Linked DNA regions of Schizosaccharomyces pombe. The gene in region 1 interacts genetically with each later gene. Each region holds a gene or a part of one and is shown in the gene's direction. Other genes may lie near its edges.

Region 1 (3,758 bases):
TTGGCATTTGCTTGACAATGCCTTTCCAATCAATGGCATTTATGGAGATTGCTTCTCCGCATTGCCTTTGTACATGTTCTAGTAGTTTTAAACTATCCGCGACGTAAAATTTGCGTTTACCCTTTGATTTCTTCTTTTTTCTCTTCTTCCTTTTCTTCCCTTGATCCTCCTCTTGACGTTGGTTAGAAGAATAAGATGCGATTGTTTTTTCGTACTGTTTTCGACAGCTTTCCGGCGACTTAGTCCCAAGCTTCTTCGATATGCTATGCCATGCAATGGAATCAGATGCCGGTATTTCCCGTTGTATGTTTGAAGTAGTGTGATTATTGTGTGTGAAAAGGCTTGTCATTTTTTTTGTGTGAAAAGACGACCGGTAAGAAGACTTTACCAAGTCTAATAGCTTTGCTTCCTCTTCATTCGTCCATAATTTGCGCCGATCAATTGTTTCCTGAGTACTAGTACCTACAACAAACCTCCATTGACTCATGCACGCGGCAGGTGACGTTCCCAGTTTGTTCGCTATGCTGTTCCACCGCGTTCCCTCTTGTTCAACTAGGGTGTACAGCTTTTTTAGCTCACTTTCCTCCCATGCATTCCTATCTTTCGGATCCAACGGCTTGTAGATTTCCTTCAAATAACGAATAATTCCTTTTCTTGAAATAGAAGTAGGCAGCAATTCGCGTAGTTCGTTGTATAGAAAGTTGATATTTGTATGTCTTAAGCTTGAAGAACTCATCCGGAAGCCAAACTCTTGTAAATCTACGCCTTCATTATTACAATAAGACAAAACTACTTTTTGAATCACTTGTGCGTCTTCTAGAGAAAAATTAAGTTGCGAATCCTCTTCAGCAGCCAAGCTTCCAATGTCTATCTTTTCGTAACCGGCGACTTGAAAAAAAGCACGCATGTACTTTAGTAAACTATTTTCTTTTCGATTCAGAAAAGATGCTACTGACTCTAAAAACCCTTGAAGTCGACTCCCAGCATGTTCGTCTTCCAATATCTCGATCATTTGCTCCCGTGATATAGACCGAATCGTTAACAATTCATCAATCCTTGCTTGAAACCACTTTTCATGCTCCTCTGTCCATGCATCCTTTCTTTTCTTTGCATTGAAAGAGTTTGTGCTTTCAACTTTGCTTTCAGAATCGTCAGAAGAGGATCGCGCAATTTTACGCTTTGATGCATGATCACTACATGTTTTGACAACGACAGAGGAAAGTGGACTATTTTCCAATAACTGTCGTGTAGCTTCCATACAATCTTTATGGTCATCTGACACAGGCTCACTAGTTCCTCCTAAGGAGTGAGCACGTGAAGGCTTATGTATAAGTGACCCCATTTCAAACTCAAACTCATTATCTTCATCAAATTCGTAAACATCTTTTCTTTTCATAGATTTCATTAAACTTCCAGGCCGAGATTTATTATTAGTGATATTGAAGGTATTGTGATCTGTAAACATAACGTCTCTTTCTTGCATTGCACCCTTACTGCTACATGAAAGTGTAGGACTTTCCAAATTTGAGCGTGTTCCCTGGTTTTCATTTATTGTCATGTCGATAGCTAACATCATTAATTTACAATGCCTTCTAATAACGGGTTAGCCAATTCATGATGAAGTAAGGACGCCAAGGGAAATTTATGAATGTTTAACTATTTTTGTTTGAGAGTTTCAACGGATTTATCTATTTTTTTTCATGCTTTTTAAACTTTCATAAGATTATTATTACGAGAACATAAAATTAAACAACCATCATACGGTTTCTGTTCAACCTCTTCAAGAACCCATTCAAATATCCTTGCATAACCAATTGTTTCTGCTTACCTTGTAAATTAATTATTTCGATTTAGATAGTCTTAAAATATTGCATTTCTTTGCCTTTAATTTCTGTCGTGGTAGATGGAAGGTTTGTAAGTTAGTGTAAACAAAGAATATGCGCGACGCGTCGCGCACTTAAAATGTGTGTTACTTTTTTGATTTCATGTCACTCATCGTTTCTTTATTCTGTCTAAAGATTCGTATCTATGAAGTTTCTGGGGCAATACATTAACAAAGAAACTTTCTTTGTTATTGTAAGTTATAAATGTTGACTAGTCCAACCACACTACTTAACAATTACCAACAGCTTTTCAACAGTTTTGGAAGGGCAATTGAGAAATTGCTAGAGACGGTTTTGAAGGACGCTTTTGCAATTCCCTCAAGGCATCTTTGCTTGGCAATATTTGAAGCATCATTTTTTTATTGAATAACCATTGTGGGCCTTTAATCTCAATTGCGAAGATACATTTGTCTGGTTTTTTGAAATTCTTCCCTTTTACGATTTTTGTATATTTTCTATTTCTTTTGTTATTCCTATATTTTATAAGCTTGCAACCTAATATTTGTATTATTGTTGCTAGCGCCTGTTTTTGAAGTGCTGCCGAACGTCCTTCTTTCGCATTATTTAATTTAATACTAAACTAATTTGATAAAGGGATTTCTAATACATCCTTGTCTATTTCTGTCTTTGGCTGGCAAACCGACTTTTTTCAATATTGTCGGATTTAAAGCACAAAGGATTGCATAACATAATTTATTACAAAGAACGTTGTAATTCTTTTTAATTCTATTTATCTATTCATATCGCTTCATTTCTTTCAAGTTTTTCAATTTGTAGTCTAATGGCGAGCGCTACTTCCACGCCTACTATTGCGGATGGGAATTCCAACAAGGAGTCAGTAGCTACAAGTCGAAGCCCACACACGCATGATCTAAACTTTGAGCTACCAGAGGAATACGAAATGATCAATCTCATCGGTCAAGGTGCTTATGGAGTTGTATGTGCCGCGCTTCACAAACCCAGCGGCCTAAAGGTGGCTGTTAAAAAAATACATCCTTTCAATCATCCTGTGTTTTGTCTAAGAACTTTAAGGGAAATCAAGTTACTCAGACATTTTCGTCATGAAAATATAATTTCAATTCTAGACATCCTTCCACCACCGAGCTACCAGGAATTGGAAGATGTTTATATTGTACAAGAGCTTATGGAAACGGATTTGTACCGTGTTATACGTTCGCAGCCCTTAAGCGATGATCATTGTCAATACTTTACGTATCAAATTTTGCGCGCTCTGAAAGCCATGCATAGTGCTGGAGTTGTTCATAGAGACCTGAAGCCATCAAACTTACTACTAAATGCCAATTGTGATCTCAAAGTTGCCGATTTCGGTTTGGCACGTTCCACCACAGCTCAAGGCGGAAATCCTGGCTTTATGACTGAGTATGTCGCAACTCGTTGGTATCGAGCACCGGAAATTATGCTGAGTTTCCGAGAATACAGCAAAGCTATTGATTTATGGAGTACTGGTTGTATACTTGCTGAGATGCTTTCTGCTCGACCATTGTTCCCAGGAAAGGACTATCATAGTCAAATTACTTTAATCCTTAACATTCTAGGAACGCCTACTATGGACGATTTTTCAAGAATTAAATCTGCACGTGCGAGGAAATATATTAAAAGTCTTCCATTTACTCCTAAAGTATCATTCAAAGCACTCTTTCCTCAGGCATCACCAGATGCTATTGACCTTTTAGAAAAATTACTGACATTTAATCCTGATAAGCGTATAACTGCAGAAGAGGCTCTAAAGCACCCGTATGTAGCTGCTTATCATGATGCCAGTGATGAGCCTACAGCATCCCCCATGCCTCCCAACCTCGTCGATTTATACTGTAACAAAGAAGATCTCGAAATACCGGTATTGAAGGCCTTAAT
Region 2 (3,567 bases), 1.6 Mb from region 1:
TTCAGTGTCGTTTACTGGTACATTATTATAGTAAAAATTTAACATATTATAGAAAATAATACTCACGTTCTTCTAATTAAATATTATAAATGAATTACCTTTTGTTTTGCATACCTAAGTTTGCTTGTGAAACTATTATGTCGCTAGTTTAATTCTATTATGAAATTAGTCATTCAGGCATTTCTTAGTAATCTCGTAAATCCTGCCAGTCTTGCTTGTCTTACATTTGTGAATACCTATTTACTTAAATCTGATTTAAAAAACATGCAAACTTATATAAACTTAGAATGAATGACAAAGTTACGTTCTTGTAAGATCGTCGCCGCTTTCTGACCATTACGCAGACATTAGAAGTTCAGAGCTCAACTTCCCATAAATCAAAAAAACCATGTTTGCTAAAAACTTACTTTTCAGATTTCCAAAATGTATAAGGATTAACGGTTACAATAATATGAGAAGGTCTCTACTGCAGAGAAATGGATTTCAAGCAGGCATTTGTCGAAAATTTGGTACTGCAACCAAAACTGATGTATGGAAAGGCCGTTTTTTGCCTATTGTATCTGGCGTTGCAGCTGCTTCTTTGACTGCTGGATATTTACTTGGAAAAAACACTTCAAATGCATCATCGAGTCAAGATAATGACCATCCTGTTGTAGGCGAACATGTCCATACGGAAACACAATGTAAGTATCATATGTTTGAAATGGCTATCTTTTTCTGTACGATTATATGAATTTAACTAACAATATAGCGTATAATGAACCATATATGCAGCGACACCGAATTGAAGATGCCATTGAGAAGAAAATGACAAGTGAAACACAACCTTCGACTGACGAGAAAGGCCGCAAGGTCAGCGCTACTGAGAATAGTGCACCGAAGAAAACTGATAAGGAAAAATCCAGCGGGGAGACAGCTGGAAATATACTTCGAGAACAAATAGCCACTGGTAAAGATGATGATGAATATGCTAGGAAATTTGAGGAAGTGGAGGAGGAGAGCAGCGAGGAGTCAGCATTTAATCCGGATACTGGAGAGATTAACTGGGATTGTCCCTGTCTTGGAGGTATGGCTCATGGTCCATGTGGAGAAGAATTCAAAGCAGCTTTTAGTTGCTTCGTTTATTCCAAGAGTGAACCAAAAGGTATGGAATGTCTTGACAAATTTCAAGCTATGCAGGCTTGTTTTCAAAAACACCCCGAAATTTATCAAGATATGGTAGGGGAGTCTGAAGAGGAAGACGCCGAAACTAATGAGAAACCATCGACTACATCTGACGAAAATAATCAACCACAATCTCCACCCTCCGATAATGCATCTAATCCTGAAGAAGACGTTATGAACATGGAGAAAGAAATTGTTAATCTTACACCTATGTCAGTTATAAAGGAAATTTAAAATTTTCGAGGCGCTCCGTTTACTATTTAAAATCCTTCAACAATATGAAATTGAAATTATTCAATTAAAGCATTTGATAGTGATCTCGTAACGAACATATAATGACTCCAACAAATGGAGTAAGTTTAAAGTATTAATGTCTTACATCGGTTTTAATAGTTAGCGGTTCTACAATAAAGTGGATATTAAATGATAATTCGAATGGGGAATCTTGATATTATAGGTTATATTGCAATTGTCGGTAAAGAATCATAAATAGGAAAACTAAAAGCTACTGCTTGTCATTATGGTTAAATTGTATCCAGAGCTACATTGTAAGGAGCAATCTCTGTTAATCTTTTCAAAAAAAAAAACAATGGAAATTCATGGGATTATTCTATCTATTATAAATCTATTATGAATAAACTACTTCTTTTTTAAGTGCCAACTTTTAACATTGTCTTCATGAGTAGGAAAATAATGTCAGTTCGATAATAGGGTAGGGTTAGAAATGCTTCTAGGAGAGGAATCCAACTTCTTATGAAATTTGCCCTTTGCCTGTCTCTCTACGAATAATTAACATCATGTCAACTGAAGAACAGAAGGAAGAAATTAAGGACATCTCATCTAAGCAGGAGAATTCTTCAGAGGTTCCCAAGGCCGAGGAAGCTGGAAAAGTAGTAGAAAGTCAAAAAGATACTACTAGTGAAGAAAAAAAGGAGGAAACTACTGAAAAGAAGGAAGATGATGGAAAAAAAGATTTATCTTTTGATGAAGCTGAAGTTTTAAAGCAAGTTGGTATGTTACACACTTTGTTTACGTTGGATTAAAACCTTTTTTGTGTTGAGTGGTCGTTACTAACAGTATGAATAGAATTTTATTTTTCGGACACCAACTTACCCCATGATAAATTTTTATGGACTACTTCTCAAAAAAATGATGGATGGGTTCCCATTCAAACAATTGCTAATTTCAAACGTATGCGTCGTTTTCAGCCTTTGGAAGCCATTGTAAATGCTCTTCGCAAGAGTCCTGAACTTCTTGAAGTCGATGAAGCTGGCGAAAAAGTACGTCGTATGATTCCTCTAGTTCGTGTAGACAACAAGAGCGTCATGGAAAGAAGTGTCTACTGCAAAGGTTTCGGTGATGAAAAAGATGACACTCAAATTGCTTTGGAAAAATTCTTTGAAGAAAATGCTGGTCCCATTAGTGCTGTCCGTATGAGAAGGGATGACGATAAAAAATTTAAGGGAAGCGTATTTGTTGAATTCAAGGAACCCGATGTTGCTAATAAATTTCTTGAGAAAGTCAAAACTGCACCTTTGAAATGGGGCGAGGACGAGCTCACTATAATGAGCAAAAAGGAGTATGTTGACATGAAAGCTGAATTACATAAAAACGATCCACCAAAGTTTAGCAGCAAACGCAGACGTTTTGACGCTTTTAAAGAGATGGATCGTCAGCGTCCTGGTAAATATAGTAACAGAGGAAGAAAATTTAAGAAGCAAAGGTCATCTAACGCTTCTGAAGAGAAGCCTTCGGCCGCTTCGGAGTAAAATGGATTAATTTTGTTTGTTTGTTTGTTTTACAAATACTTCAAAGACACTGGACAAATAAACTTTTTCGGATTGGTTATATTAGGAATTTTGGATGAATAAATAGTCGTTTCATGCAGTTATTTTGTACAATATGACCTCGTAATTTAATGCTTAAATCGTAACAATATTCGGCTATAAGTTTTGCTATACGAATTTTAAAGGTTTTGAATAATAGCAATAGTTTTTTGCTTCATCACTTATAATGTATCGTACTGAATATTTTAAATTTCACATGAGTTAATATTAAGTCCTATTTCTTTACCAGTACGACCAAGCTTGCATTTCAGAAGTTCTCAGTGGAATTTGCAATGATCAGAATTGACTGAATTAAGAACTTGTATATTTCTGGTGGATATCAACCATACAAGAATCAACTTTAACAGTAAAAATAAAAAAATATCAACCTTAGAACCATGCGTCTTTCACATATTTCCGACTGCACAGTCAACATAGGTTTACAGTTCTCGATTGCTTGACTGGGCTACGCTATCGATCCTACACATCAATATGTTCTTCAGAATACAAAATATAGTGAAGCAAAAATAGTTGACCTTCCTATAGCTTAATTATAACTGAGACATTGCTTAAGCTA

What was found.
Region 2: of spk1 (region 1) and sla1, changing one suppresses a phenotype caused by changing the other (phenotypic suppression), as found in Schizosaccharomyces pombe (one study listed by BioGRID).

The regions. Positions count from the first base shown.
Region 1 is NC_003424.3:2,999,875-3,003,632, reverse strand, and holds the start of spk1 (MAP kinase Spk1), read left to right. Parts: upstream 1-2,114; 5' UTR 2,115-2,664; coding exon 2,665-3,758. Other genes in the region: RNA polymerase I termination factor, Myb family Eta2, read right to left, coding at 1-1,576. UniProt on the Schizosaccharomyces pombe protein: Involved in mating signal transduction pathway.
Region 2 is NC_003424.3:1,381,908-1,385,474, reverse strand, and holds sla1 (La-motif domain-containing protein), read left to right. Parts: upstream 1-1,926; 5' UTR 1,927-1,961; coding exon 1,962-2,175; exon of another isoform or gene 2,176-2,250; coding exon 2,251-2,933; 3' UTR 2,934-3,067; downstream 3,068-3,567. Other genes in the region: disulfide relay system thiol oxidase subunit Mia40, read left to right, coding at 389-683, 752-1,398.